Linked DNA regions of Macaca mulatta. The protein of the gene in region 4 interacts with the protein of the main gene of each other region in a biochemical or structural test. Links are inferred from orthologs where the notes say so. Each region holds a gene or a part of one and is shown on either strand. Other genes may lie near its edges. The genes, in order: UBE2L6, UBE2H, UBE2Q2, UBA1 and UBE2G1.

Region 1 (6,152 bases), on a different chromosome or scaffold from region 4:
ATCTTTTTTTTTTTTTTTTTTTTTTTTTTGAGATGGAGTTTTGTTCTTATTGCCCAGGCTGGAGTGCAGGGCTGTGATCTCTGCTCACAACGTCGGCCTCCCAGGTTCAACTTCCACTTCTCAGTTCCTGCCTCCGCCTCCCGTGTAGCGGGTATTATAGGCACACGCCACCATGCGCAGCTAATTTTGTATTTTTAGTAGAGACAGGGTTTCTCCATGTTGGTCAGGCTGGTCTCGAACTCCCGACCTCAGGTGATCCACCCACCTTGCACTCCCAAAGTGCTGGGATTACAGGCATGAGCCACCGCGCCCGGCCTAGTTACTCCATCTCTCATCTCAGTGTGCTCGAGGTCACCATGATTTCTGTTTTGCCTATTAAGGAGGAGGAGCTCTGAAAATCTTGACTCTCTGCTTAACCACATATGCCATTCTTGCTGTCTTTGCTCTGTCTTTTCAATAACAAAGGCTCTGAAAAGATTTGGTAATTTGGAACCAACCGGAAGTCCCCTTTGTTCCGCACTGGGGTCACCCAGGTTCTGGGGTTTCTCCCTCCTAGGGCTGTGAGTAGTCATCTTGTGTAAAGGTGTAGGGTTGACAGTGCCGGGTTCCCATCCCTGCAAGGCTGCTGTGGTCCTAGGTGAGTTACTTACATACACTGAACTTGAGTTTTCTCCTCTGTAAATAGAGATGCTGATAATTGTTTTTATACCTATTGTAGTAACTGACACATATGTAGTACTTGCCATGTGCCAGGCGCTGTTCTAAATCCTTGGCATAAATTAAATCATCTCATCCTCACATATGCCTTATGAAGAAGTCTATTATTATTGTCATATGGAAGCATGGAGAGGTGAAGTTACTTGCTCAAGATCACATTGCTAGTGAGTGTCAGAGCCGAGTCACACCCAGGCATGGTGGCTCCGGAGTCTGTGTGACCCGCATACTCTGTTGCCCAGGCTAATGCATGTCAAGTCCTTAGCACAGGACAGCACAGATAGGCGCTCAGAAAAGTGTTCAGGTCGCTCAAAGTCTAGAGGGTCTTCTCTTGGCTCCTTGCAGCTCCCAACCCCTCGGTCACTCTAGCCCCTGAGTTTGTTTGTGTTTAATTATGGTAAAATACATATAACACAATTTACTATCTTAACCGTTTTTAAGTATACAGTTCAGTGTCATTAAATAGGATTACAGCTGGGCATGGTGGCTCATGCCTGTCATTCCAGCACTTTGGGAGGCCAAGGTGGAAGGATCGCTTGAGGCCAGGAGTTCAAGACCAGCCCTGGCAACATAGTGAGACCCTATCAAAAAATTTTTAAAATTATCCAGGCTTAGTGGTGGGCTCCTGTAGTACCAGCTACTCAGGAGGCTGAGGTGGGAGGATCACTGGAGCCCAGAAGTTTGAGATTACAGTGAGCAATGATAATGCCACTGCACTCCAGCCTGGATGACAGAGCGAGACCCTGCTTCAGGAAACAAACAAACAACCATGGTTGCACAACCATCACCATCGTTCATCTCTAGAACTTTTTGTCCACCTGTACTGAAACTCTGTACCCCTTCAGTAACTCCCCATTCCTTTCTTTCCACAGCACCTGGTGACCACTTTACTATTTCGTTTCTATGAATTTGACTATTCTAGGTGCTGTACTTCAGTGGTATCTTGCAATATCTGTCCTTTTTTGTCTAGCTTATTTCCCTGAGCATAGTGTCTTCAAGGTTCATCCAGATTGTAGCATATATCAGAATTTCTTTCCTTTTAAGGCTAAATAATACTCCATTGTGTGTATATGCCATGTTTTGTTGATTGATCCACTTGGTTTTCTTTCACCTTTTGGCTGCTAGAAACATTGGTATACAAATACCTGTTTGTATTCAGTTCTTTGGGTATCTACCCAGAAGTAGAACTGCTGGATCATATGGTAATTCAGTGTCTAATCTTTGGAGAAATGGCCATACTGTTTTCCACTGCAGCTGCACCTTTGTATTTTCCTAAGTTCCTGAGTTCTTAGGATTTCCTCATTTTCTCCATTTCCTCACCCCCATTCTAATGTTCTAAGAAAGGATGTTCCATCCTTTTCTTCCATAATCTCAGAAATCCATGAAAGCTGAGATGGTCCTTAGAGCTCATCTAGTCCATCTTTATCCACTTTACAAATGAGGAAAGTGAGGCCTAGAGGTGGGAAGTGGCTCAACCGTGGTCACACAGCAAAAGCCTGGATCAGACTTCTCTGCCTCCCAGGCCAGTGCCCTTTGGTGATTTCACATTTTCACTAATCCATGACTCAGTTGTCAAATGAATGCAGGTGCTGTGCGTATCCTGGCTCATGTGTCCCCCTGGGAGTGAAGCAGAGGATGCCTAGGACCCTGGGATGGGGGCAGGAAGGGAAGAAAACCAGACCGGAGCTTGACCCCTTTTCTCTCTGCACAGGACCAACCTCCCTACCACCTCAAAGCCTTCAACCTGTGCATCAGCTTCCCGCCTGAGTATCCGTTCAGGCCTCCCATGATCAAATTCACAACCAAGATCTACCACCCCAACGTGGACGAGAGCGGACATGTTTGCCTGCCCATCATCAGCAGTGAGAACTGGAAGCCTTGCACCAAGACTTGCCAAGGTGGGGCTGGGCTTTGCCCGGAGGAGGGACTGATACTGGGTAGAGATTACTGGAAGGGGGTTTCACAGACTTATTCTGAGCTTGAAAAGCCCCGAAGAGAGGAGGTGAAAATTGTGAGTCTTGGCTGAACTTACTGTGAGATAGAAGGGATGCTTCCTGGACAGACTGACCTCCTCCTGCCTCTGTTCCTGTACCTGGGCAGTTGTGACAGAGGAACATTGCTGTGGTTCACGAGAGAGGCAGCCTGGCTGTACAGGGAAGGGCTCGGGATAAGAAAGCCCGCTGTTCCCTCTGTGGACTTTGGGCAAGTTTTCGTTCCTTTCTGGGACTCGGTGTCCTAAATGACAGTGGAGGGAACTGGCCTCATAATGAGAATAGCTGTCACTTGACTGAGCACTTTCAGCGCTGTGCTGAGAACATCACATGCGGACTTCATTTTCATTTCCTCCACCACCCCGTGAGGTAGTGTTGTCGTTAGCCTTGTTGAATAGACCCGGACATTTGAGGCATGTGAGAGGCGAAGTGGTTGCCTAAGGTCATACAGATGGCAAACGGCAGCACTTGGCTGAGTCGCGAGCCACATGTGACTGTTGCAACTGAGGAACTCAGTTCTTTTCCTTTTTTAAGACGGAGTCTCGCTCTGTCACCGAGGCCGGGGTGCAGTGGTGCGATCTCAGCTCATTGCAACCTCTGCCTCCCAGGTTCAGGCGATTCTCTGGCCTCAGCTTCTCGAGTAGCTGGAATTACAGGTGTGTGCCACCACATCCAGCTAATTTTGTGTTTTTAGTAGAGAAGGATTTTGTCATGTTAGCCAGGCTGGTCTTGAACTCCTGACCTCAGGCGATCCGCCTATCTTGGCCTCCCAGAGTGCTGGGATTACAGGTGTGAGTCACTGCGCCTGGCTGGAACTCAATTCTTAATGGTACTTAATTTTAATTTTTTTTTTCTTTTCTTTTGAGACACGGTCTGTCTCTATTGCCCAGGCAGTTAGTTCAATGGTGCGATCTTGGCTCACTGCAACCTCTACCTCCTGGGCTCAAGCCATCCTCCCACCTCAGCCTCCCGAGTAACTGGGACTACAGGAGCATGCCACTACACCTGGCTCATTTTTGTATGTTTTGTAGAGACCAGGTTTTGCTATGTTGCCCAGGCTGGTCTCAAACTCATGAGTTCAAGCCATCCACCCATCTTGGCCTCCCAAAGTGCTGGGATCACAGGTGTGAGCCACCGTGCCCAGCCTGATTTTGATTCAGTTAAATTTAGATGCCTGCCTGTGGCTAATGGTTACCATATTGAACAATGCAGCTCTAGAGCCTGTGACTGAGTCAGTGTGCAATCCTCTACCTGGACCACCTCAGGAGTTTTTAACTCAGGAAACAAAAGTCCTTTGCTTGGTGGGAGTGGGAGCAGGGAGAGGAGTGGTCCTTGGATGAGCTTCAAGGGGTCTGGGAACTATCCGTTTTGCACGTGGAGTGTGCGTCTGTCTCAGGAGATGGGCTGCTACCTTCACCAGGTTCCCAAAGGCATCTGTGAAAGATGAAGAGCCAGGGGGCCATGGTGGTTTTCAGTCTTTAGCCTTAGACCCCTTTTGCCCAAGGAAAAGTTTATTTGGACTATCAATATAATGGAGGAAAACAGAGTAGTTTTTGTTGAAATGGGGATAAGACCCAGAAACCTCACTTATTTCAGTGGCTCCCATGATGAAGAGCTTCTCTGAAGCCATGGAATGTAGTTGTTTGAAAACCACTGATGTCATCAGTCAAGGTCTTGGGTGTCACCAACCAAGAATGAGCGGGGTGTTTGATCCGGTCATAGAGTCAGCCTAAGAGATGGAACCTTTCCTCCAAGGAGTGGGTGTGGAGTGTCAAGGCATTGGGAGTGGGCAGCCGTGACCCCTTCCCTCTGCCCTGATGTCCTGGCCTGTCTCTCCCCAGTCCTGGAGGCCCTGAATGTGCTGGTGAATAGACCGAATATCAGGGAGCCCCTGCGGGTGGACCTCGCTGACCTGCTGACAGAGAATCCGGAGCTGTTCAGAAAGAATGCTGAAGAGTTCACCCTCCAATATGGAGTGGACCGGCCCTCCTAACTCATGTTCTGACCCTCTGTGCACTGGATCCTTGGCATGGTGGATGGACACACCTCATGGACTGAGGCCAGAGCCCCCTATGGCCCATTCCCCACTCATTTTTTCTTTCTTAGGTTGTTAGTCATTCGTTTGTGTGTGTGGGGTAGAGGGAAGGGAGCTGTGAGTGTGTGTGTTGTGTGTGGACTCACTCCCGGGTTCACCTGGCCACAGGTACACCCTTCCCACAGCCTTTGCATCCCCCAGAGCCAAGGGAGTTTAAGTTTGCAGAGTTACAGGCCAGTTCTCCAGCTCTCCATCTTAGAGAGACAGGTCATCTCGCCGGCCCGCTTGCAGGAAATGAGCCCAGCAGCCAACTCGAATCCCCCTAGGGCTCAGGCACTGAGGGCCTGGGGACAGTGGAGCGTATGGGTGGGAGACATATGGAGGGTACCCTATTTACACCTGAGTCAGCAAAGCCACTGATGGGAATCTACAGATTTAGGTGCTAAACCGTTTATTTTCCACGGATGAGTCACAATCTGAAAAATCAGACTTCCATCCTGAAAATCTGTATGTTTCAAAACCACTTGCCATCCTGTTAGATTGCCAGTTCCTGGGACCAGGCCTCAGACTGTGAAGTGTGTGTCCTCCAGCATCCAGTCCAGGGGGAGCCACAGAAACCATGATCTTGCTTAAGCCATTAAAGTCAAAGATGAATTCTGGAGTGCAGCTGAGTCTTTGATGAGGCGATGGGGTAGTTTCATCAGGACCAGAGAGGACTAGGGATTTAAGCATAAATTTCTGACCTTGCTTCCCCTGGATGTTCCCCAAACATCAAAAGGAATGTTGGCTATGGAAAAATAGGCCATCCTTGGACAGAGGTGCTTTCAGAAGGTACACAAGGATGACGTCCCCATTTTATTTTTTTTATTTGAGAGAGAGTCTCACTCCGTCACCCAGGCTAGAGTGCAGCAGTGTGATCTCGGCTCACTGCAACCTCCGCCTCCTGAATTCAAGCGATTCTCCTGCCTCAGTCTCTTGAGTAGCTGGGATTACAGATGCCCACCACCACAACTGGCTAATTTTTGTAATTTTAGTAAAGATGGGGTTTCACCATATTGGCCAGGCTGGTCTCGAACTCCTGACCTCAGGTGATCCACCTGTTTTGGCCTCCCAAAGTGCTGGGATTACAGGTGTGAGCCACCATGCCCAGCCAACATCCCCATTTTAAAGATGAGGCAATTGAGGCACAGAGCACTTCAGTGGATTGCTGGGGTCCACTCTGCCAATCCACACCCCTGCAGGTGAGCCAGGGTTGTGGCTGGGATGTGTTTTGTTTTCTGTATTTTTCATGAGCTGCTTTTATCAGCACATATGCCCCAAATGGCTGATAAAACCAGACTGGATAGTTAGCAGGAAATTGTAATCAGCTCAGGAGTTTGTATCTCATGAGCAATGGAAAAGCAAAAACAAGC
Region 2 (6,819 bases), on a different chromosome or scaffold from region 4:
ATGTACAATTTGAAAGAGCAATGCACTCCTTTCAGAAGCAACTAAAATAGCCCACCTTTTTCAGAACATAAAGAGGTTATCAAGGGCTGGGGGGAAGGGGTTATTGCTTAATGTTTGGGATGGTGAACATGTTCTGGAAATGGGTAGTACGATGGTTGCATGACATTGTGAATGTATTTAATCCTATTGAATTATACCTTTAAATATGGTTAAAATGTTAAATTTTATGTTATGTATGTTTTACAATTTAAAAAAGCCTAGGTTTTTTGAGGCATGAAATGATAGCTGCAAAAGACGTTCAATCTTAGCTCATTGCTGCTGCCCCAGGTGTGTGTGCATAGGAGGTTATGTAAGGGAGGCTCAACTCACAACACATGATCTGACAAAGTACAAGTGTATATTCATGGGAATGAGGGAAAAGATAAAACTTTTGAAATGATAGTGAAAATCTGACATAAATATAGGCGATGCCTGGAACACTCTTCACTGGCCCTTTTGCCTGGTTGACTCCTGGGTTCCATAACACTTCTTTTGGAGGACCTTATAGGGCAGCATCTTTCAAACTTCACTGTGCATAAGAATCACCTGGGGGCCCGGCGCGGTGGCTCAAGCCTGTAATCCCAGCACTTTGGGAGGCCAAGACGGGCGGATCACGAGATCAGGAGATCGAGACCATCCTGGCTAACACGGTGAAACCCCGTCTCTACTAAAAAATACAAAAAACTAGCCGGGCGAGGTGGCGGGCGCCTGTAGTCCCAGCTACTTAGGAGGCTGAGGCAGGAGAATGGCGTAAACCCGGGAGGCGGAGCTTGCAGTGAGCTGAGATCCGGCCACTGCACTCCAGCTCGGGTGACAGAGCGAGACTCCGTCTCAAAAAAAAAAAAAAAAAAAAAGAATCACCTGGGGACCTTGTTAAAACTGCAAATTCTCATTCAGTAGATCTGAAGTGAAGCTCTAGCGGCATTTCTAACAAGTTCCCAAGTGATGCTGACACTATAGACCCACAGACTATACTGGGGGGCTGTGTAAATTTAGTCTTCCTTTTCCTTTTTTTTTTTTTGGAGACAGAGTCTCACTCTGTCGCCCAGGCTGGAGTGCAGTGGCACGATCTCGGCTCACTGTAACCTCTGCCTCCTGGGTTCAAGCGATTCTCCTGCCTCAGTCTTGCGAGTAGTTGGGCCTACAGGCGCCCGCCACCACGCCCGGCTAATTTTTGTATTTTTAGTAGAAATGGGGTTTCACCACGTTGGCCAGGCTGGTTTTGAACTCCCGATCTCAGGTGATCCTCCTGCCTCGGCATCCCAAAGTGCTGGGATTACAGGCGTGAGCCACTGCGCCCGGCTAAATTTAGTCTTTCTTAGTTCACCATTATATCCTCATGTCCAGCAAGGTGATTAGCACACAGGAAGTGCTTAATAAATATTTATTGAATGAATGAAGTATTTAAGATTGGTGTAGGAGGTTCACACACTTTGCGAAGTTGCCTCATGCTCTGTAGAATAAGGATAGTAGTACTAAATTATTTCTGACCTTACCACATTGCTGTGTAAACTCTAATCTTTGAAATAGTGCCCGTAGACACGTGGATTGTGATGAACCCTGGTATTGAAGCCTGAAGAAGCCTTGCTGTGGTCTACAATCCTTGGAAACAAATTCTCTCCAGCCAAGGAGGGAGCGGAGTGCAAGGAACCTGCTGGTGTGGGAATTTCCAGATTTTGGTGCCTGAGTAATTGCTACCTTGGCCTCCTCCAAATCAAAGAAATTAACAGCTTGTTAAACAGAGTGTGTGTGGAGGTTCGTTAACCTAAAATCCACGCATTTAATAATATTGCCATTATTTACTATTATCGTTTAGGATGATGATAACGACACTGGCAGTTGAGCGATGAAGTAGGTGGGGAAGTTGGGGGAGGGGACAGAGGGTGTGAGACAGCCGGAGAAAGAGGAACTACAACTCCCAGAATGCACCGGGAAAGCCCACGCCGCAGCGGCGCCCCACCCCTCTCAGCGTCCAGGCCCGCCCCCTCCGATGACGTCACCTCTGTGACGTCACGGCGCCCAGAGCGAGGCTGGGGTAGGGAGGCCGACTGAGCAGGAGTCGTCCGCTTGTAGTGGAGGCTGCTAGGAGCCGGTCAGAGGGTGAGTGGGAAACAGGCGAGCGAGCCAGAGCAGGCAGGAGGGAGCGTCGCGCGGCGCAGAGGAGTGCCGGGGCCGGGCCGCGGCGGAACCACAGCCAGAGAGGGGCTGCCCGAGCCGGGCGCCGCGGGGTCCCCACCCCCACCCGGCCGGACAGTGCCCGGTGTTCCCCCGTGCGGGGGGCGGCGGCGGCGGCTGACGGGACCGCCGGGACCGCGGGGGTGTTGCCACCTCCACCGAGGAGCCGGCGCGGCCGCGGGCTCCTCAGAGCCGGGGCCCGGGGCCCGTGACAGACGGGCCGAGGAAGGGAGAGAGGCGGCGGCGGGGAGGCGGCGGCGACACCATGTCATCTCCCAGTCCGGGCAAGAGGCGGATGGACACGGACGTGGTCAAGCTGTATCCTTCGTGGAGGGGAATTCGGGATGTGTGTGGGGGGCGGTGTGGGGATGCCCAGGGCACCCCCGAAACCACTGCAAAGGCCTTGGGGCACTCCAGGCCACTGTCCGAGACTCCCCTCCTCCCCCAGTGCCTACGGCGGCTCCTTGGCACCTCCCAGGGGCCGAGAGCCTTTTCAGCTCGCCTTTTTCCCGCAGCACCCCGAAATACGCGTTGCTGCTCGCTCTTCCTGTATCCCCACAGCCCGTGACTTTCCTTCGCGACGTTTGGACTCCCAGACGGCCTTATTTCTTTTTGCAGGACCAGTCGCCTCACTCTCTACCACCGAGCCCATCTTCAGGGTTTCTCTCTCCTGTTTGCTCGCTCTGGATTGAGGGACTCAAGGCAGAAATTCCCGAGACGGAAGCCTTTCTCCCTTCCTTGAGATGCCCCCATTTCCTCCAACCACAATGCTGCTTGAACTGGGGTCATTCAAGCGACCTCTTTTATCCCTAATTCCTTTCTATATTAGGAAGAGAGTCGCCTGCTCAGGGCCCCCTCTTCTAAGAAAGAGCTCTGTGTGTTTTCAGTCAGTCCCTCCTGTTAAGCTTTCTGGTCCCCGGGAGAACCCTACTGTTTTCCTTTCCACTGACAAAGCCTGTCCCACCCATGGTTGTATGTGATGAAGACCCTTGGGCCCTCCAGCAAGCCACCCTCCATGTTGTGGGTATGACAGCCGGGGAAAGAGGAGCTCCTGGACAAAATAGTCCCTGGACTGGCCACTTGGGCAAAACTTCCTCTGTGAGGGTCAGCTTCTTGGGGGAATACTTGCCCTGATGTCGCCAAGTGACACCCTTTATTTTCTGCCCCCTCCCCCCAACTTTCTGCACTCTGGAGGCTGCAGTGGGAAAGCCATAACTGATAAGAGCCCTTCAGGCAGTGGTTTTGGTTGAAGTCCAGACTGATTATTTAAGGACCAGCTAGAGAAATTCGCGAAGGTTCCTGTGACAAATGGAGAATTTGTTTTTTGAAGGGTAATTTAGAGGGTGGGGGGAGCCCAGAGTTCTGAACAGCTAGTCCTTGGGGAGGGGGGAAAGTGGGGGCTTAGGGGGTGGTACTGTGGAACACAGTTTAAAAGTCCTGTCTCCTGTTTCTCTCCCTTCACCCCATCCCCCCACCGTTTCCCCCTGTTGCAGGGTTTTGTTTATATAACTCAAGTTGTTTGGCTAAATTCTTCAGGTGAATTCCTTTTTTCTTCCTTTTACTTGTTGCTGTTTTTGATTGTTTTACTTCTTTGTAGAGGTCAGTGATTATTGTCAAAAAATTCAGTTAGGGAATTTGCTGAAGTTTTAAAAAAGTAGTTTTTGCATATGGTTTGGCAATGGGGGATGGGAGGGAAGTTGTCCGGGCAAGATATTTTTAAAAAAATAATCTTTTCAGAAATAAGGTGTTTTTCTCCTTGCTCAGGGAAAACTTGGCTAGAAATTAGGAGCAGTAGATAGACTTCTAAGTTTGTGGTTTGGAGTTTAGAATTTTTGGGGGGTGGGAGATTAGAGCGGAGCAACTAATAAAGTATAGCGTACCTAATATATGTTCAGGCACAAGTGAAATCAACTCTTTATGAGCTGTTTGTGGCTGTGATTGTTTTGTAAATGTGTGAATGATACCAGTAATGTTGGCTTTTCATAAGGCTGCAGGAAAACTTGTAACTAACTGACTGTGTGTACATTTTAGACAAAGCAGTTTCAGGTTTTATTTTTGTTTAGAAACTAGGAAATGACATGGTGGCAGAATCTGATTTATTTTTATCTTGAATTGAGAGTTACTGTCACACCTAATGCGAATTTCTACCTAATGTTTAATTGGGATGGAGTGGGGAGATAGAATTCCAGCTGTTTGTGATCATTGTCAGAGTCTCAAATTATGTACATAGACATATTTTTAAAAGATTGAGGATAAAGAGGGGGGCCTAACTTGACCTGATGCCTTTTCCATACAGTGCCTTTTGTTCATTTAGTAGTTGTGGCATCTAGAATGATTACCGCATTTAGGAGTCGGGGTGTGGGGGGTGGAGAGGGAGAGGAAAACAGACAAAGAACAGCAGGGTGTCTTTTTTTTTCTCCCCCTAAGTGGCTTATTTCATAGCTTATTTTTAGTAGAAGATGAAGAAAGGCAAAGATGCATTGGCCTTCTGTTCTTTCCCCACCTTCCTTCCTTTCTGACAAAAGAAAGCAGGGGCGCTTTAAAATTGTAGATCTGAGATAGGAGGATAACAGTTTTAAGATTTAAAAGCCAGAGGTTATCTTTGTTTCGTGTTTATTTTCTGGTATAACGGAGTTTGGAAGTTAAAATGTTTCGGATTTCCTTTTGTGTGTGTTGTGTAGGTGAGAGATTTTGTGTCCTCCTTTCTCTGTTGAATTCACAGATCAGTAGGCCCAAATGGAGCCAACAATTTTTGAGTAAGGTATATTTAGCAGAAAATTTAAGGAAAAATTCCCCAACCCTCTCTACTAAAATGAGTACAATTGTGTGAAAAGGCTGGGGGTTGAGAAAGATGGTGGAGAGGAAGTAGGAAGAAAAGGTCTGAAGGAATGCACTTCTTGCCCCCCAGTGTCCCTTGATGATTTCTTTGGTGTGGGGAGTGATAGCTGGTTTCCTTGCAGTCTCCTGTTTCAGCCCATTTTTGGATGTCTCCTAGCGTAATTATACCACCACAATTTACAGCCTAGCAGGGAACCTATATAGTAGGAAAGTAGCAGTGTGGGGGTAGGGAGAGAAGAGGATGTGTAACTAATTGGCCGCTGCCTTCCACCACCTCACTTGGTTCTTTTGGAGACACTGTCTCTGGTTGTTTGGAGTCAGTGATATTTCTTTTGTGACGGGTTGGTAGGAGGAGAGCTGACTCCCAAGTTATGCAGGGAGTGAGTGTTTTGCACCAATGCACTTAATAATCTGCTGGGTGATTATGCTCTGAAACTCTGACTCATTCATTGTTTCTCTTCTGATCCTTTGCTCAGGGTTGTGCAAACCTCCCCAGGAGCCTAGAAACTGATTTACATGACTTTTGGATCCTTTAGGAATGTGTCCCAATAAAAAAACCTTGCAGTTAGCCCAGATCCTATGGAATGGTCTCGAATAGTGCAGCCATTTGTTTGCAAAGTCAGGTAGATTGGTGATCTGTGCTGCCCAGAGCCTGGCAACCTTTGAGGTTTCCACCTCCAACCAGCTGATTATTTAGATTGTCTGAGAGCTGGGGCTCTGGTGACCTTAAAGCGTGATTTGCCCTAAAGGAATATCGGTTTAAGTTCTCCCTGGTGGAGGAACAAACAGCTCAGATTACACGGGTTTCCTTGTTGGTGGGGGTTACTCGTCTCACCCTGTTGCACAGCCCTGGTGATCCTTTCATCTGTGAACCAGTGGCCCCTGCTGAAGGCTAGAGCTGCTTGTTTTGGAAAAGCGTATGCAGGCAAAAGGCCGCAGGCACCGCTCCTCAGCGCTCATTGGCCGCCCTGTTACTACCCGGAAAAGGAGGAGGGGAGGAGCTACCAAACAGCTGATGGAGTGTGTGACAAGAGAGTGTGTTTATATACAAAAGAGGTGGGGGCTGGGGAGGCCCTCTGAGTGGTGTTACAGGAACAAGTGTGTTTTCGAGGGGTAAAAAGAGGAGAGGAAAACCTGACCTGTTAGAGTACAAGAAACGTTTAGAAAAATTAAGGCTAAATCAGAAAAGTAGATCAGATAATAATGGGGACTGGCATATACCATATGTACAATTTTGTAACTTATAATACCAAGAGTTTTCAATGATTCTTCTTTTCAGAGGGAGTACAGTAATAAAGTAGGAAACACCCCTTTATTTATTTTTAATTTTGTAGAGACCGAGGTCTGACTAGGTTGCCAGGCTGGCCTCCCAACTTCTGGCCTCAAATCTTCCTCCTGCCTTGGCCTCCCAGAGTGCTGGAATTACAGGTGTGAGCCCAGTGCACCTGGCCCAGGGCATGCCACTTTAAATGCACTTAACTTACTCATTTACAGGGATTCCAAAGTATGGCAGAAATGTCAGCTTCCCTTAAAGCATCAAGAGTGATCGAAAGGGACAGCGTCTTACACTAAATCCATTAGCAGCCTGAGTTAATTTTACAGAATTGCTGGTGTCTGCTTTAGGGTTTCAGAGGCTTTCTGTAACAAATTCAAAACCTCGGATGTTGCTGAGTGTGATGGCTCACATCTGTAATCCCAGCATTTTGGGAGGCTGAGGCAGGAGGATCATCTAAGTGTAGGAGTTTGAGGGTCCAGTGAGCTAAGATC
Region 3 (6,152 bases), on a different chromosome or scaffold from region 4:
TGTATACTAAAGGGGCCAATTATACACAATATTTTATGCCTTGCTTTTTCACTTAATGTATCTTAGAACTTTGCATATGCTCTTATGGAAAGACTGGCTGTTTTTTTTTTTTTTCTTTTTTGCCTACAACAGAATATTCTATTGTAAAACTATACACTATAATTTTTATTTAACCAACTCTTTATTGGTGGACATTAAGAATGGAGGAATGTTTCAACAAGGGAACAATCAACAGTATCAAAATACTGCAGAGGGGTCAATTTGGGGACTAAGAGAGGTGCCACTAGTTTTGGCAACTAGGAGATAAATTTTAGTGCAACAATGAAGGTACAATCCAGATTATAATAACTTCAGTGAAAAAAGGTGAAGACATGCAGCTTATTCTCTTAAGAAACTAGGCTATGATAAACTGGCAGAGGCTGTAAGAGTGGGAGGTGAGTTGTTTTCTCCTTCATGTAAATATATTCACTTTTTAAAAAACTAGGCCCAATGTTATATCCTATTTCATTTAACCTTATGAACATGTTTACTTAATATTTTAGACACTGAAAAGTAACTCATTTTTGCTATTATAAAACCGTTATCTTTAGATCTTCTGAAGCAACTTCCTAAAAGGAGGTAGCGGTAACAGAACTATGTCTGCCATTCTTTCCCATCAACCCCCTTGCTGGGGATGTAAACATGTGTCCATCTAACTTTTAATTTTTACCTCTTACCTTCATGGCTCTCCATACAAACCTTAACTCGTGTGTGTGTGTGTCTGTGTGTGTGTGTGTGTGTTTGTGTGTGTATATATGGAGAGAGAGAGAGAAAGAGAAAGAGGGTCTTGCTATGTTGCCCAGGCTGATCTCAAACTCCTGGGCTCAAGCAATCCTCCCACCTCGGCCTTCCAAAGTGCTGGGATTACAGGCATGAACCACTGTGCTAAGCCTCAGCCTTAACTCTTAAAATATTTTTTTTTGGAGACAGAGCCTTGCGCTGTCGCCCAGGCTGGAGTACAGTGGCACAATCTCGGCTCACTGCAACCTCTGCCTCCCAGGTTGAAGCAATTCTCCTGCCTCAGCCTCCCAAGTAGCTGGGATTACGGGTACATGACACCACACCTGGCTAATTTTTGTATTTTCAGTAGAGATGGGGTTTCGCCATGTTGGCCAGGCTGGTCTTGAACTCCTGACCTCAACTGATTCACCCGCCTGGGCCTCTCAAAGTTCTGGGATTACAGGTGTAAGCCATCACGCCCAGCCTTCTGTTCTTAAGAATAGATGTGTTTACACCAACTATAACTTATTTTGACAAAAATCAGAGTTGAGACTCAAACTTCCTCAAATAGTTTTCCTAAGACTATTTACAGAATAATCTGTCCTTTCCTTATTAAGTTAAAATACCACCTTCACCTTACGCTAAATTCTCATTTGCATGACTCTGGTTCTAAATTTCCATTGCCTTTATCTGTCTGGAACAGGGTTAGTACACAACATTTTATTGAACATCTGGTTGAACAAGTCTTTTTTTTTTTTTTTTAATCATTTACTCTTTTAAACGTTAGAGTCATTTTGTTAACTTCCAAAAATAAATCTGCTGGGATTTGTACTGAAATTTATTACATATATATACACACACACACATATACACATATATACATATGGGTATATATACATATTATGTATTTTATATATACATATATGTATACACACACATACATATACATATATTTTTTTTGAGACAGTCTCACTCTGTCACCTACGCTAGAGTTCAGAGGCACAATCTAGGCTTACTGCAATCTCTGCCTCCCAAGCTCAACTGATCCTCCCACCTCAGCGTCCTCAGTAGCTGGGACTACAAGTGTATACGGCTATACCCTGCTAATTTTTGTATTTTTTGTAGTGACGGGGTTTCACCATGTTGCCTAGGCTGGTCTTGAACTCATGAGCTCAAGCAACCTGCCTGCCTCAACATCATAAGGTTCTGGAATTACAGGCATGAGCCACTGCACCCAGCAGAAATTACATTTACGAATATGAAGACATGGTGATAAGTGACATATTTATAACATGAGATCTGCTCATACAGGAACACAGAATGCAAATCTTTCCTTCCACTCAGCAAAACTGTTGTGTTCTTGATAAAAGTCCTGCACATCTAAGTTGATTCCTAGGTATTTAATTTTTGTTGAAATACTTGAAAAAATACTTTATCACTGTATCTTCTATGTGATTATAGCTAAAATTGTGGAAAGCTATTAACTTTTATGTAACAGACCTTTTAACCAGTAATCTTAAAAACTCTTTTTTCCGGTTGGTTCCTCTGAATATTTTTAGGTAACCAATCATGTCAGCCGAAAATAATGAGGATTATTTTTCTATAAAGACTTTATGATATCATGGGAAAATACAGTAATTTTCTTTTTTTTTTCCTGAGACGGAGTCTCACCCAGGCTGGAGTGCAGTAGTGTGATCTTGGCTCACCACAACCTCTGTCTCCCAGGTTCAAGGAATTCTCCTGCCTCAGCCTCCCAAGTAGCTGGGATTACAAGCATGTGCCACCATGCCCAGTTAATTTTTGTATTTTTAGTAGAGACAGGGTTTCACCATGTTGGCCAGGCTGATCTTGAACTCCTGGCCTCAAGTGATCCGCCCGCCTCAGCTTCCGAAAGTGCTGAGATTATAGGCATGAGCCACCGTACCCAGCCAGTAAATGTGTTTTAAACTGATATAAAACAATATAGAATATGACCTCAACTATTTAAACATATGTATAAAGTTATATGTATTTTACTAGCAAAGAAAAAATATATACTGGTAGAAAATAACCATCATGTCAACAGTGGTTATATTAGGTAGAGAAATTATGGGAGATTTTAATATTTTTTTCCTGTCTATATTTTACTAATTTTTTCAACAATGCTTGCTCATGAGTTTTATAATCAAGAAAAAAAGTGTTAAAAATTTTTGCAACACAGAAGTTATATTTCTTTATATATTAAAAACAAAAATAAAACTTTATATTTGAATACCTTTGACTTTTGCTGCACTTACAGACCTTGAAAGAAAAGGCAATTCCCTCATACTCGTTCTGGTGTCATTCTCCCCATCTCTTCCTTCACTTCCACCTTGGTCTTTTTTCTGCTTCCCATCTTGGCTAGTGATCTCTACCCAAAATGCTTGATTTGGCTTAATGGTTAGATTTCAGGGAAAAAGAGATCCCTAATTCATAATCGAAATTAAGGTTATACATGTGGGAAATAAAAAAGAGAGACCAGGTAGTAAACAGAATTTGAAAGACAACAACAACAACAACAACAACAACAACAAAACCTACTCTTTAATTCCTACAAGATTATAATCATTAATCGTGCTTTTATATCATATTATCTCTTAACATTTAATTTCTATATGTAATGTTCATAAGGAAAAAAGAAAATAGCTTGGCTTATTTTCTTACCGAATTGTTGTTCTTAGTATCTTCTAGACGTTCCAGAACTGATGTCAGATTTGGGTCATCAGAGTCCACAAACCATATTGGTGAAGAAGATGGATAGGATTCCTGTTTAACACAGAGACACCTATGTTAAACATTTACATACAGACTAACCCAAATATGCAATTAAACCACACCACTAAATGGCAAGATGACCACGGATTTAAACAAAATGTATGGGGGAAAAGACAACACGTTAAAAACCATGTGAGAGGCCGGACTTTTGAGACAGCTATTCTCCTTGCATAGCACTGTCTGTTGCTACAGCTCATAGAAGTCAATGATTTTCTTCAACATTGGTAGGCAGCCTCTAAAATGGCCCCAATCACCTTCACCTCCTGCCATTCACACCCTTGTAAACATTCCCGCCCCTGGACCTAGTGACTCACTTCTAACAAAGAGAATACAGCAAAAGTAATAACATCACTTCTGAGATCAGGCTACCAAGAGACTATGATGTCTGCCTTGGTCACCCTTCTCCTGCTTTTTCCATTGCTCCCTCTGATGGAAACCAGTTGCCATGTGATGAGGTGCCCTATGGAGAGGCCCACATGGCGAGGGATTATAAAAGGCCTCAGACCAAAAGCCATCTAGAAACAAAGGCCCAGTCCAACAGCCTGTGAGATAAATCCTGCCAACATCTACATGAGTGAGCTTGGAGACTGATTCTCTCCTTATCCTGCCTTAGGATGATCACGGCTGCCACCAACACCTTCACTGCCTGGTGAGAGGCCAAGTCAGTGAACCCAAGATAAATTGCACAAAATCCTGACCCACAGAAATGGTGAGATGTTTGTTGCTTTAAGCTGCTAAATTTGTTACAGAGAAAGAGAAAACTAATTCAAACACCATAAAATTCTAATGTTTTAACCTATCACACAAACGAAGTACTACCAAGAAATGCCATTACTACATACACACACACACACACACACACACACACACACACACACACACACGCATTTTGTTTTTAACCTCAAGACGGAGTCCTGCTCTGTGGCCCAGGCTGGAGTGCAGTGGCGCAATCTTGGCTCACTGCAACCTCCGCCTCCTAGGTTCAAGCGATTCTCCTGCCTCGGCCTCCTGAGTAGCTGGGATAACAGGCACATGCCACCATGCCAAGCTAATTTTTTGTATTTTTAGTAGAGATGGGGTTTCACCATGTTTGCCAGGCTGGTCTTGAACTCCTGATCTCATGATCCGCCCGCCTCAGCCTCCCAAAGTGCTGGGATTACAAGCATAAGCCACCACGCCAGGCCCATATCTTTTTAAATACATGTGATTTTTGAAAAAAGCTAACGAACTAAGCATTATGTGCTTTCACCCACTAACAGACATTTACTCTGTTACTTTGTATGCTTTTCTATTATAAATTGGGGGAAAACCATTATTATTATATATTAGCTTCAGAACAACTAGGTTCAGAACAACATGGAAAACAATTTTGCAGAAACAATTTTAGGAAACACTGCTTTGAGAACTATGATTTATAGCTGAAGCCACAGAAACTGAATATTTTTAAAGAATTTTGACAAATGTTCTTTTAAGAATAAGTTGTACTGATGGAGGACATCATTAATAATATACCTGGTCAATAATGGGTTATTTACTATTCTCATTCCTCTAACTCTTACTGTGCCCCAAATCTCTGTACAGGCTAAATGAGAAACTCTTCAGAATTAATCCTGTTCTTAAAGAACACTACTTATTGAGTACTGCATTTTCTTATTCAAATTTTTCAGCACACGTTGGGAATACACCATCTGGACCATTTTTAATGTTTTAGTTTTTAAGTTTCTTTTTCCTTAGGCTAAAGAAACTGCAACTACACTTAGGATCTCATTTTATTAGGTTAGTATTTGTCTAGTAAACTTCAGCATAAGCCAAGCAACATATATGTTGTCACTCTGGACTGAAACCCCTCAAAACCATATTAAGAAAATTAGAAAAACAACTGAAATCATGTTTTTAATCTTGTAGATGGAAAGATATGATACACTGTAGATCTAAGTACTTATTTCAATGGTTCCCAAAGTGGGGCCCCTCAGACCCCCAGGTCCAAACTATTTTTACAAGAATATTAACATGTTGATATATGCTGTGAGGGTGAAGACACAATGGTGGATAAAAATGCTGGCACTTTAGCACAAATAAAGGCGGTAACACCAAACTACTAGTAGTCATGGTATTCTTCACTATGCACAGGAAAGGTTTAAAAAGGAAGAGCAACAAAAGATCAGTTTCATTTAAGAATGTCTACAATAAGGCTGGGAATGGTGGCTCATGCCTGTAATCCCAGCACTTTGGGAGGCCAAGGCAGGAGGATCACTTGAACCCAGGAGTTCAAGACCAGCCTGGCCAACATGGTGAAACCCCATCTCTACAAAAAAATACAAAAATTAGTTAAGCATGGTGGTTGCATGCCTTCAGTCCCAGCTACTTGGGAAACCGAGGCAGGAGGATTGATTGAGCACAGAAGGTCGAGTCTCCAGTGAGCTGTGATCACGCTACTGCACTCCAGCCTGGGTGACAGAACAAGGCCCTGCCTCAAAAATAAAAAGAATGTCTATGATAAAGCAGTGAAAATTTTACTACATCTTAATCTTGAATATGTCTTTTTAGTATTTCAAGTGATGAAATGGGAAGTACATAGGAGCATTCCTACAGACTGCCTG
Region 4 (6,152 bases):
CCAGGACCCACCTGAGAAGTCCATCCCCATCTGTACCCTGAAGAACTTCCCTAATGCCATCGAGCACACCCTGCAGGTGATAAGCTGTGGGAGAAGGGGAAGAGGCCGGGCATCTGGCCAGGCCGCTGCCTCTCTGCCCCCAGGCCCTTGCCTTGCCTTCAGATGTTGCATGCCTAAGTGTAAGATGTACCTTTTCTCCAAACCTCCCTCCCTCTCTTCCCACCAGGCAGCCTAGGTTTCTAGAATGACTCATTCTTTTTTCACTTTTACTTTGAATTTTTTTCAACACATAGAGAAATATTAAGAATATTATGATGAATACTCAAATACCATTCCTCACCTAAATTTAGCAATTCTTAATGTTTTGCCACATTTTCTTCTTAGATGTATATAGATTTTTCTTCTTTGTGCTTAAATGTGTCACGGACATAACAGCCTTTACTCCCCTACTATTTCAGTGCCTCTGCCAAGTGAGGATATGTTGCTATAGAACAGGGTTTCTTAGCTTCAGCACTACTGACATTTGGGGCTGGTTACTTCTTTGTTATGGGAGAGGGGATGCCCTGTGCACTGTAGGATGTTTCTCAGCATTCCTGACTTCTTATGTCAATAGCACTCCCCCTCCATCATGACATCTAAAATGTCTCCAGACATTGCCAGATGTCCCCAGGGGTGCCACATCACTCCCAATTGAGAACTACTTCTATCTAACAGAAACATCACTTTCATGCTCAACAAAATTAACAATCATTCTTACCATCTCTTCCAGTTATTTATTTGTCTCTAATAGTCCATATTCGGGTTTTCCCCAGCTGTTACTTAAAATGAGTTTAACAGCTGGTTTGTCAGGATGATTCTGTGTGTATGGTGCATGTACCTACAGAACAGTGCACATATTATCTAGCTCAGGGGTGTCCAATCATTTGGCTTCCCTGGGCCATATTGGAAGAATTATCTTGGGTCACACATAAAATATACTAACACTAACGATAGCTGATAAGCTGAAAAAATAAAAGAAAAAAAGATCCGTGCATAAATCTCATAATGTCTTAAGAAAATTTACAAATTTGTGTTGGGCAGTATTCAAAGTCATCCTGGGCCACATACGGGCCACAGGTTAGACAAGCTTGATCTAGCTGAAGTTTTACAAAGTGAACACACAAGTGACTACCACCTAGGCCAAGAAACAGAACCTAGGGATTACCATTGTGCTGTCAGAATAATTCTTAGTGCAGTGTTTGAGGCCAAACCATTTAGAATAGTAGGAGTATGAGGGTGGGAACAAAATAGGGAAGGGGAAAAAAAAAACCAGTTCCATCTGTCACTTTCTCCCTTCTGACACTGCAGTTCCAGAGTGGGTATGTTTGTATTTGTGCACCCACCACAGTCTTACTAGGTCATGTGTGACCTCTCTGTGCCTCAGATTCCTGTTCTGTAAAATGGGAATGACAGTAGCATCTACCTCACAGGACAGTTGTGAACCACTTGCCATTTACCGTGTGCCTGGCACTGTTTTAACCAAGCTTTAAATATATACGTATTTGCTCATTTCTTCCTAGCAACCCCATGAAGTAGGTATCACTGTTGTAACATCTGTTCTAGAGATGAAGCACAGAGGTAAAGATGTTATCCTGTGTGCCTGAAGTCACAAAACTAGGTAATACGTGGCATAGCTGGAATCTGAACATGAATTTCTCACATCTGTACACTCCAAACCACCTCGCTAATGACTGCGAACTGTCCTAGGAACTCTCAGAGGCCAGAACATCTGTCTTGTTTGCTATTTTATTTTTTGAGACAGGGTCTCATTCTGTCACTCAGGCTGAGGTGCATTGGCACAATCATAGCTCACTGCAACCTTCGGCTCCTGGGAAGTGTGTGTGCGCGCATGTGCGCCTGTTAACGTTGACCAGGCTGGTTGCAAACTCCTGGGCTCAAGTGATCCACCTACCTCAGCCTCCGAAAGTGCTGGGATTACATGTGTGAGCCCCTGTATCCAGCCTCTGTCTTGTTTTCTGCCGAGTCCTCAGGGCCTGGATAGGGATCATTTTTGGTTTGGTCTGAGTTTTTTCTTTTTTAAAAAATTGTGGTAAGATAGTTGAAGTTTTTCTTTTTTATGGAGGCATAACATATCTAGAATAAAGTACACAGTTTTTGTTTTGTTTTTTTTTGTTTGTTTGTTTTTTGAGGTGGAGTTTTGCTCACGTTGCCCAGGTTGTAGTGCAGTGGCGCAGTCTTGGCTCACTGCAACCTCTGCCTCCCGGGTTCAAGCGATTCTCCTGCCTCAGCCTCCCAAGTAGCTGGAATTACAGGCGTCTGCCACCACACCGGGCTAATTTTTGTATTTTTAGTAGAGACAGGGTTTCACCATGTTGGTCAGGCTGGTCTTGAACTCTTGACTCAGGTGATCCACCCGCCTCAGCCTCCCAAAGTACTGGGATTACAGGCGTGAGCCACCTCGCCCAGCCTGGTACGCAGATCTTAATACATTTTTAGGCTGGGCTTGGCGGCTCACACCTATAATCTCAGCACTCAGGAGGCCAAGGAGTGAGGTTTGTTTGAGCCCAGGAGTTCAAGACCAGCCTGGGCAACATAGCAAGACCTTGTCTCTACAACAAATCTTAAAAATGAGCCGGGTGTGGTGGCATGTGCCTGTGGTCCCAGCTACTCGGGAGGCTGAGGTGGGAGGATTGTTTCAACCTGGGAGGTCAAGGCTGCTATGAGCCGTGATTGCGCCACTGCACTCCAGCTTGGGTGACAGAGTGAAACTTTGTCTCAAACAACAAAACAAAACAGTTTTCCATATACACAGCACTATTGTAACCACTGCCCAAATCAAGTTCATTGGTTTTTCTTTTTTTTTTTTTTTTTTTTCTTTCTTTTTTTTGAGATGGAGTCTTGCTCTGTCACCCAGGCTGGAGTGCAATGGCATGATCTCGGGTCACTGCAACCTCCGCTTCCCAGGTTCAAGCGATTCCTCTGCCTCAACCTCCCGAGTAGCTAGGATTACAGGCGTCTGCCACCATGCCCGGCTAATTTTTGTATTTTTAGTAGAGATAGGGTTTCATCATGTTGGTCAGGCTGGTCTCGAACCCTTGACCTCAGGTGATCCACGCACCTTAGCCTCCCAAAGTGCTGGGATTACAGGTGTGAGCTACTGCACCTGGCCTGGTTTTTTTTTTTTTGAGACGGAGTCTCGCGCTGTCACCCAGGCTGGAGTGCAGTGGCCGGATCTCAGCTCACTGCAAGCTCCGCCTCCCGGGTTCACGCCATTCTCCTGCCTCAGCCTCCCGAGTAGCTGGGACTACAGGCGCCCGCCACCTCACCCGGCTAATTTTTTGTATTTTTTAGTAGAGACGGGTTTTCACCATGTTAACCAGCATGGTCTCGATCTCCTGACCTCGTGATCCGCCCGTCTCGGCCTGCCAAAGTGCTGGGATTACAGGCTTGAGCCACCGCGCCCGGCCCTGGCCTGGTTTTTCAATTGAGGTGGGGAAATGGGGAAGGCTGGGGAGCTTCCCCACTTCCAGAATAACTGTGAGCCTTGTACTTGCTTTATTCACTGATGGTCCTTCTAATAATGCCTGCGGTAACCCATTTTGTCAACTGTGGCCACATGTAATCTGTTTGCTATGTCTGCAGTGGGCTCGGGATGAGTTTGAAGGCCTCTTCAAGCAGCCAGCAGAAAATGTCAACCAGTACCTCACGTGAGTAACTCCAGTGCCCTCTCGCCCTATCCTTGTCCACCAGCCAAGGCATCCCGCCTGCTTTCCTCATCACAGTAACACTTGGCACCAGGCACACTTTTCACATGAATGAGTGGCTGCTCGGGCCTCGTATTGTTTGGGGTCGGGACTAGTTTTCCATGGAGAAAATAAGATTGCTCTGGAGCCCACTCCTGAGGCTGACGTGTAATCCTGTCCTCTGTCCTCTTCGATTCCTGATAGAGACCCCAAGTTTGTGGAGCGAACACTACGGTTGGCAGGCACCCAGCCCTTGGAGGTGCTGGAGGCTGTGCAGCGCAGCCTGGTGCTGCAGCGACCACAGACCTGGGCTGACTGTGTGACCTGGGCCTGCCACCACTGGCACACCCAGTACTCAAACAACATCCGGCAGCTGCTGCACAACTTCCCTCCTGACCAGGTAATGCCCAGTTGTTGGGTCCATTTGACAGAATGTATTTCCCTGAAATGGGAGCCTGCAGTGTGGGTCCTCCCACTGCGGAGTCCAGCTGTGGCAGGTGCCCTGAGGCATGGGGATCTGAGAAGAGTGATTGACCCTAACCTGCTTTTTCCTTACCCTAGTTCCTTTGAGCAAAGAGGCTTGGTTGCTGTTTACCCTGACTGTGGTGTGGGCTGCGTCATACCTGATTCCCAGTCAGGGCTGTAGGGGTTATGGGGGAGAAATTCTGGAGTTAAGTGCACAGGAATCAATACGGGTTTGGGTTCAAATCTAAACTCTACTTGAACAAATCACGTAACTTCTTTCTGTGCCTCAGTTTCCTCGTCTGTGAAGTAGAAATAATAGTGATCTACGTCATGGGGGGTTTGGGGAGGATTAACTGGTATTTATTAATATGAAGTTAGTACAATGCCTGGTAATCCATGAGTTTGTTAAATGATGGGCTGTCTAGCACAAAATGACTACCCAGGGATTGGTAGTTGTTCTCTCAGCCAGATCTGTGGTTCAACCTGTGGGACCCTACAGTTGGGGTATTTTGTGATTGGCTCCAGTCCCCATCGAGTGCCCAACCCGAGATAGTGAGTTGGGGGCACCTCTGGGGCCTAGGTGAAGTGCCAAGATTGTCAGAGAGGCCTTCACTCTCAGGTCCTGTTCTCAAAAATCTCTCCATCCCTTAGCTCACAAGCTCAGGAGCCCCTTTCTGGTCTGGCCCCAAACGCTGTCCACACCCGCTCACCTTTGATGTCAACAACGTAAGTCTCCTCTCTAGGGTCTTCTGGGGTCAGGTGGAGGGTGAGTAGGTGGGAAGGAGGTGGTGGCTCCCCACTCGAAGGCTGATGTGCTCACCCTTCCCTGCCCTGCCTTCTCCTAGCCCCTGCATCTGGACTATGTGATGGCTGCTGCCAACCTGTTTGCCCAGACCTACGGGCTGACAGGCTCTCAGGACCGAGCTGCTGTGGCCACACTCCTGCAGTCTGTGCAGGTCCCCGAATTCACCCCCAAGTCTGGCGTCAAGATCCATGTTTCTGACCAGGAGCTGCAGAGCGCCAATGCCTCTGTTGGTGAGGGTGTTTGGCCAGTTGGCCAGTAGTCACCCCCAAATGTCCCCGGCCTAGTCTAGCCTCCCCACCAGTCCTCTACCCCTGGCTCTGCTCTGCTTTGTGACCCCAGGCCTGAGGTTTACCCACACCTTCCTTTGAGCCTCCCTTTGACATGAAGAGGGTAGGTTGGGGCAAATTGTCTCCCTCCCTCCTCCTCTCCACTCTCTGGCCCGCAGGAGAACTTGCTGTTTTACTCTTGCTCTGTGTATTTCCCTTAGTTTTGTTATTTCTTCTTGATCTGTTCATCTAAGACGTATGATCTCTACCAGTGGTCTCTCTCCCGTGATACCTTCCTGCCTTGTCTCCTTCCAGATCTGCCCCCATCTGTACATCTATCCCCATGTTTCTCTATGCATCTTCACCCTCCATAGTTTGGGGCTGCGGTTTACTGACACCCCCGCCCCACCCCATCTACATATTTTTTCACCACTCCTCCCTTCTGTATATAATGCCTCTGTAGCTCTGTAATGCCCCCTACATTTACCTTCCTTATATCTCATCCCTCTTCCTCTCCACAGATCTCCTCCCATTTCCCCTTCCATGGTCCCCATCTTCCTTCTGAAATATCTACTCCTTCATATTCCTCTATGTACGTCTTCCAATCTTTCCTTCCATATCTCTCATCACCTTCATATATTTCTCCTCCCACCTGTCTCACCCTCTGTATACCCCCACTCTCCCCTTTTATATCTTCTCCATCTCCCCCCATATCTTTCCTCTATGTCCACATCTGTACATTCCCCCCAACTTCCCCTCCATATATATTTTTTACTCCCCTTTTCCTCCCTGTATCCTCTGTGTTCCCCCATCTCGCTCTACATCATTCTTCCCAAGATCTTTACGTTTCCCATCTTGATCTCTCCATCTCCA
Region 5 (6,152 bases), on a different chromosome or scaffold from region 4:
CACTTCCATGTTTAAACATAAAGTTTTTATTTTTATTTTTGAGACAGAGTCTCGCTTTGTCACCCAGGCTAGAGTATAGTGGCATGGTCTCGGCTCAGTGCAGCCTCTGCCTCCCAGGTCAAGTGATCCTCCTGCCCCAGCCTCCTGAGTAGCTGGGATTACAGGTGTCTACCTCCATGCCTGGCCAATTTCTGTATTTTTACTAAAGACAGGGTTTCACCATGTTGGCCAGGCTGGTCTTGAACTCCCAACCTCAAGTGATCCGCCCTCCTTGGCCTCCTGAAAGTGTTGAGATTACAGGTGTGAGCCACCACGCCCGGCCTAAATAATAAATTTTCACTGTTGACTTTCTCATATTTTGCTGGCATGTTGTTAAATCCTAGTTGTTGAAATAATACCATCTCTGATTACCCCCAAAATTAATATCTCCTCAGTTACCTACACATTGGTTCAGTCGTTGGTAGCACTCCGAGCTGTATTATACTGTCTTTCATCCTTAGGCAAAGCTGCGTGAGAATGATGGCAGGTAGTACACGAGAATTACACACCTGTTGAGACTCCCACCAAGTCCTTTTCAAACCACTCTACTCTTGCGTGTTCTTTGTCCCCACTTTCCAATTTGAGCCAATGAGTACCCAATTCCACTGGCAGGTAAAACATGATAATTTTGTGGGTGATTGATACGTGCATTCACTATTGTGATTGTTGAGTTGGTTCCTCTGGTGTATACATATATCAGTACTTATTAAATTGTTTTTTGTTTTTGTTTTTGTTTTTGTTTTTGAGATGGAGTCTTGCTCTGTCACCCAGGCTGGAGTGCAATGAATGGCGTGATCTTGGCTCAATGCAACATTTGCCTCCCAGGTTCAAGCAGTTCTCCTGCCTCAGCCTTCTGAGTAACTGGGATTATAGGCGCATGCCACCATGCCCAACTAATTTTTAAATTTTTATTTATTTATTTATTTTTAATTATTTTTTTTTTTTTTGAGACAGAGTTTTGCTCTTGTTGCCCAGGCTGGAATGCAATGGTGTGATCTCAGCTCACCGCAACCTCTGCTTCCCAGGTTCAAGCAATTCTTCTGCCTCAGCCTCCTGAGTAGCTGGGATTACCAGCATGCGCCACTACACCTGGCTAATTTTGTATTTTTAGTAGAGACGGGGTTTCTCCATGTTAATAGGCCGGTCTCAAACTCTCGACCTCAGGTGGTCCACCTGCTTCGGCCTCCCAAAGTGCTGGGATTACAGGTGTGAGCCACTGTGCCTGGCCAAATTGTGTAATTTAAGTCTGTGCAGTTCACCGAATGTCAGTTATACCTCATTAAACTGTTTAAAAATTTCTCATGTGGTCTGCTCACCGTTAGTAGGCCAGTACTTTATTAAGTCTGGTGTCTCCGGAAACATTTTGGGCCCTGCACCCCTGCTCACCTGCTCCTTAAGGTCCCTGTCTTGGCTTGTGTGCCCCCACCTCGCTAGTTCCTCACCTCTTGTTTCCCACCCTGTCATTCTTTCTCCATGCCACGGCACTCTCTTTAGAAGAGAAGAACCTCATGATGCTACAGCCATTCCTGTATGCTCTAGCTATTACTCTTAAGTTAATCCTGTGTCCCAGAGGCTATGGCTCTCAGAGGGTCAACATACACAGATAAGACTTATGGGACCTCTGCTCTCCTTGTGCTCAGAGATGGATGGGCACACAGGAGCACTGTAGGAGCAGGTCCCCACGACTACAGGGACATGTCAAATAGGAGTACAAATGTTAGTACAAATGAAAGTTATTAAGCTCAGTATATTCCAATGAAAAGGTATGATTAGACACTCTGAAAGCATACCCTAAAGATAGCAGCTTAAGAATTGCCAACTTGATTTGATTTCTGGGGTTCCCTCGAACGAGAATCTCTGGGGGATGGGCCTGGATATCTGCATTTTAATAAGCTTCCTTAAAAGACCACTGTAGGGCCACCCAGAATGACAAGAGCCTGGCTGGACACCAGTAGAAGTTGATCTTCTGGAGAGTTTGCTTTACCCAGGGCTTTCTTACAGTATAGACATGAAAATATTTTGGCCATCAAGTAGCATCTTGCCTGGCAAGGTATATCTGTTTGATGGTTTAAAACTTATATATAACATGTATGCTCAAGTTCTGTAATTTATCTATTGGATGAAAATTTTGTGCTTAAATGTATTGATTAAACTTTGCTTTTTCCACAGAACTCAACAAAAATCCAGTGGAAGGCTTTTCTGCAGGTTTAATAGATGACAATGATCTCTACCGATGGGAAGTCCTTATTATTGGCCCTCCAGATACACTTTAGTAAGTATAATGGGACTGACATCTTCAAAATGGAGCTCTTTTAATACACTGAGTTAAAAACTATTTTGGCAGGCTGGGCGTGGTGGCTCACGCCTGTAATCCTAGCACTTTGGGAATGGGTGTGGTGGCACGCGCCTGTAGTCCCAGCTACTCAGGAGGCTGAGGCAGGAGAATCACTTGAACTCAGGAGGCAGAGGTTGCAGTAAGCTGAGACCACACCATTGCACTCCAGCCTGGGTGACAGAGTGAGACTCCATCTCAAAACAAAACAAAGCAAAAACACAAGTATTTTGGCAAACTGAAATGAAATTATTTTTTAAGGAGCAGGAGAAATGGCTGTATTCAGTATCCTTTGTACTGAATTGGATCATCGAAGAGTGTTCGTGTTCTCCTTGAATCTCTAATGTCTAAGACCTATTGCTATTAAAAATAATAGTTTCAGGCTGGGTGTGGTGGCTCACGCCTGCAATCCCAGTACTTTAGGAGGCTGAGGTGGGTGGATCACCTGAGAGGTCAGGAGTTTGATACCAGCCTGGCCAACATGGTGAAACCCTGTCTCTACTAAAAATATGAAAATTAGCCGGGCGTGGTGGCACACCTGTAATCCCAGCTATCCAGGAGGCTGAGGCAGGAGAATCACTTGAATTCAGGAGGCAGGATAATTGTATATTTTTTGGACATTTTAATTGAGAATGTATTATACACATCAGTGTATTAAGAAGGCTAAGGAGAATTTTCAAGATCGTCTATTTTCGTGGTTCTCTACTTGAGTCCCCACTGAATACTGGTTAGAATCTAGGTGTTCTTATCCTATACTAAACTAATGGTCACTTTCTCCTAGTTTGTTGAAAGTTATTGTTAGACTATATGATAACCTGTTAACTGACTATTAATTGTTAAACCAATGACTTAAGGATAGACAACAATGTAGTGGTATTAAATAAGAGTAGAAGAGAAGTAGAATTTTAAAAATATTTCGTGTAGTACATTTCTAGATGCAAAGACCACAGTCGTATTTTCTGCTCTGAGTGTTTGCAGACTAACTTAAATTTACTAGTATGTATTGTTTTGTAAGATGCATCTGCCAGGCGCGGTGGCTCACCCCTGTAATCCCAGCACTTTGGGAGACTGAGGTAGGCAGATCACGAGGTCATGAGTTCGAGACCAGCCCGACCAACATGGTGAAACCCTGTCCCTACTAAAAAGACAAAAAAATTAGCCGGGTGTGGTGGCGCGCGCCTGTAATTCAGCTACTCAGGAGGCTGAGGCAGGAGAATCGCTAGAACCCAGGAAGTGGAGGTTGCAGTGAGCTGAGATAGCGCCATTGCACTCCAGCCTGGGTGACAGAGCGAGACTCCATCTCACACACACACACACACAAAGATGCATCAAGACTTCCTTACATTGGTGACTGATACAAGTTTCCATGCTTTTTACAGCAGTTCAGGTATTGGAAAAAAAGGAAGTGACCTTCTTAAAGCCAACAACTGAGTGACAGGGACAGATCTAGATCTGAGTTTCTTGAGGTCTGGACTATACTTTCTCATTTAACCTTCATCTCAATGGTGCTAAGTGGGTAAGGATTTGGATGCATCAAACAGTTTTTTTGGTGATGGTCAGGTAGTTGTTTTTAGGTTTTCTGAGTTAGTAGCTCTTTTCCTCCTCAGAAAACAGCTGATGGAAAAGAAGATTTGGAGCTATTTCTCTGCCAGGCTAGGCTGATACGTAGAGTTGAACCGTCGTGTGGACATTTGTGTTTGTGATAACGATTGCCAATCCGAAATTTTGCTGATGTGTTTCCTGATAGTAGTTTGCATTGATGAGTTTTACAAATTGAGATAACTGAATTTGGCCACCCCACATGATTAAGGTTTTTGGCAGATAACAGTAGCCATTGAAGACCATCTGGAAGTGCTTCCTCCTAACCTTACTGTTATTTGAAAGCAAATTTCCTAACAGTTTTTTCACCAAAAGATGCTTGATGCAGCCAGATCCTTACCCACTTACCACACCTGGGATGTGAGCCCGGTGAAGTTCAGATCTATTCTTGTAGTTTTTCAACATCACCACCTTGGGAGACACAGCAACATTTCAGTGACAGAATCTAGTTACCCTTGTATTACGTACATGAAAACAAGAAAAACTCTTCTAAACTGATGTCTGTATGGAGCATTGGTTGGGAATCCAGATTTGAGCTCAATTCTAAGGGCCTCATTGAAATTTTTTTTTTTTTTTTTTTTTTTTTTGAGATGGAGTCTCACTCTGTCTCTCAGTCTGGAGTGCAGTGGCGCGATCTTGGCTCACTGCAATCTCTGTCCCCTGGGTTCAAGTGATTCTGCCGTGTCAGCCTCCCAAGAAGCTGGAATTACAGGCACCTGCCACCACACCCGGCTAATTTTTGTATTTTTAGTAGAGATGCCATTTCACCATGTTGAGCAGGCTGGTCTCGAACTCCTGACCTCTCAGGATTAGATATACACCATTTTGTTACAATTGCCTACAGTATACAGTACAGTAAAATGCGCTACAGGTTTGTAGCCTGGGAACTATACGCTGTATCCTAAAGCCCAGGTATGTAAGTAGGCCATACCCTGTAGGCTTGTGTATGTTCACTCTGATGTATAAAATCGCCCAAGGACGCCTTTCTCAGATCATAACCCTGTCGTAAAGCCTCGCATAACTGACTGTATGTTGTGTACCTCCAGCTCCACCAAAGAGAAACACTTTTTCTTTTCACTAATAAAAACCCGTTTCTGGGCGGGCGCTGTGGCTGACGCCTATAGTCCCAGCACTTTGGGAGGCCGAGGCGGGCAGATCACGAGGTCAGGAGATCTAGACCATCCTGGCCAACATGGTGAAACCCCGTCTCTACTAAAAATGCAAAAATTAGCTGGGCGTGGTGGCGCGCACCTGTAGTCCCAGCTACTCAGGAGGCTGAGGCAGGAGAATTCTTGAATCCGGGAGGCGGAGGTTGCAGTGAGCCAAGATCACACCACTGTACTCCAGCCTGGTGACAGAGCAAGACTCCATCTCAAAAAAGAAAACAACACCGTTTCTGGTATTTGGTGTACATTTTTGAAAGCGTTGGCTGTTGACTTGAGATGTGAATCACAGCAGTGTTTCTGGCAGCTCCTCTGGAGTGTGTATATGCTGCTGAGAATACTGGTGGTCACTTCTGGCCTGTGCCTTCCTGAGATCAGTAGCCTTTGCTCAGGGAAGAGAGAGAGCGTGTTCCTAGGGCAGGACCTGAGAAAGGCAAAGCAAGATACAGGGGGATGAAGAAAGGTTTGTTAGAAGTAGGCCTTTTAAAATGCTACCAAGGATCATGTACTTCATAGAATGGATTTGTCGTTGGCTGGGCGTGGTGGCGTACGAGGCCGAGGCGGGCAGGATCATCTGAGGTCAAGAGTTGGAGACCAGCCTGACCAACACGGAGAAACCCCATCTCTACTAAAAATGTAAAATTAGCCGGGCATGGTGGTGGGTGCCTGTAATCCCAGCTACTCGGGAGGCTGAGGCAGGAGAATCGCTTGAACCCGGGAGGCAGACGTTGGCGGTGAGCTGGGATCGTGCCACTGCACTCCATCCAGCCTGGGCAACAAGAGGAAAACTCTGTCTCCAAAAAAAAAAAAAAAAAGGTTGTCTTAACAGAAAGTAAGAAAGTAGTGATGTTCTTGTAATTATTTCAGTGGAATGGAGAGAGTAGAGGCCATCTTGGAATTATTTGAAGAGCGCTATTGGGAGTGAATGTATATACCTTATGTATAAATAACTGCCTGTAGGCCGGGCGCGGTGGCTCAAGCTTGTAATCCCAGCACTTTGGGAGGCCAAGACGGGCGGA

The links.
Region 1: of the proteins of UBA1 (region 4) and UBE2L6, one has a biochemical effect on the other in vitro, tested with the Homo sapiens proteins (2 studies listed by BioGRID). The link is inferred for Macaca mulatta from reciprocal best matches to the Homo sapiens genes UBA1 and UBE2L6.
Region 2: of the proteins of UBA1 (region 4) and UBE2H, one has a biochemical effect on the other in vitro, tested with the Homo sapiens proteins (3 studies listed by BioGRID, with this or other methods). The link is inferred for Macaca mulatta from reciprocal best matches to the Homo sapiens genes UBA1 and UBE2H.
Region 3: of the proteins of UBA1 (region 4) and UBE2Q2, one has a biochemical effect on the other in vitro, tested with the Homo sapiens proteins (3 studies listed by BioGRID). The link is inferred for Macaca mulatta from reciprocal best matches to the Homo sapiens genes UBA1 and UBE2Q2.
Region 5: of the proteins of UBA1 (region 4) and UBE2G1, one has a biochemical effect on the other in vitro, tested with the Homo sapiens proteins (3 studies listed by BioGRID, with this or other methods). The link is inferred for Macaca mulatta from reciprocal best matches to the Homo sapiens genes UBA1 and UBE2G1.

What each region holds. Positions count from the first base shown.
Region 1 is NC_133419.1:15,848,666-15,854,817, forward strand, and holds the end of UBE2L6 (ubiquitin/ISG15-conjugating enzyme E2 L6), read left to right. Parts: intron 1-2,425; coding exon 2,426-2,612; intron 2,613-4,546; coding exon 4,547-4,698; 3' UTR 4,699-5,394; downstream 5,395-6,152. UniProt on the Homo sapiens protein: Catalyzes the covalent attachment of ubiquitin or ISG15 to other proteins. Functions in the E6/E6-AP-induced ubiquitination of p53/TP53. Promotes ubiquitination and subsequent proteasomal degradation of FLT3.
Region 2 is NC_133408.1:169,620,585-169,627,403, reverse strand, and holds the start of UBE2H (ubiquitin-conjugating enzyme E2 H), read left to right. Parts: upstream 1-2,340; 5' UTR 2,341-2,479; coding exon 2,480-2,532; intron 2,533-3,507; exon of another isoform or gene 3,508-3,522; coding exon of another isoform or gene 3,523-3,545; intron 3,546-4,926; exon of another isoform or gene 4,927-6,412; intron 6,413-6,762; exon of another isoform or gene 6,763-6,806; intron 6,807-6,819. UniProt on the Homo sapiens protein: Accepts ubiquitin from the E1 complex and catalyzes its covalent attachment to other proteins. E2 ubiquitin conjugating enzyme that transfers ubiquitin to MAEA, a core component of the CTLH E3 ubiquitin-protein ligase complex.
Region 3 is NC_133412.1:53,963,183-53,969,334, reverse strand, and holds part of UBE2Q2 (ubiquitin-conjugating enzyme E2 Q2), read right to left. Parts: intron 3,544-6,152; coding exon 3,442-3,543; intron 1,278-3,441; coding exon of another isoform or gene 1,275-1,277; intron 1-1,274.
Region 4 is NC_133426.1:47,238,061-47,244,212, forward strand, and holds part of UBA1 (ubiquitin-like modifier-activating enzyme 1), read left to right. Parts: coding exon 1-76; intron 77-3,642; coding exon 3,643-3,707; intron 3,708-3,947; coding exon 3,948-4,143; intron 4,144-4,859; coding exon 4,860-4,934; intron 4,935-5,053; coding exon 5,054-5,243; intron 5,244-6,152. UniProt on the Homo sapiens protein: Catalyzes the first step in ubiquitin conjugation to mark cellular proteins for degradation through the ubiquitin-proteasome system.
Region 5 is NC_133421.1:5,802,674-5,808,825, reverse strand, and holds part of UBE2G1 (ubiquitin-conjugating enzyme E2 G1), read left to right. Parts: intron 1-2,208; coding exon 2,209-2,311; intron 2,312-6,152. UniProt on the Homo sapiens protein: Accepts ubiquitin from the E1 complex and catalyzes its covalent attachment to other proteins. In vitro catalyzes 'Lys-48'-, as well as 'Lys-63'-linked polyubiquitination. May be involved in degradation of muscle-specific proteins.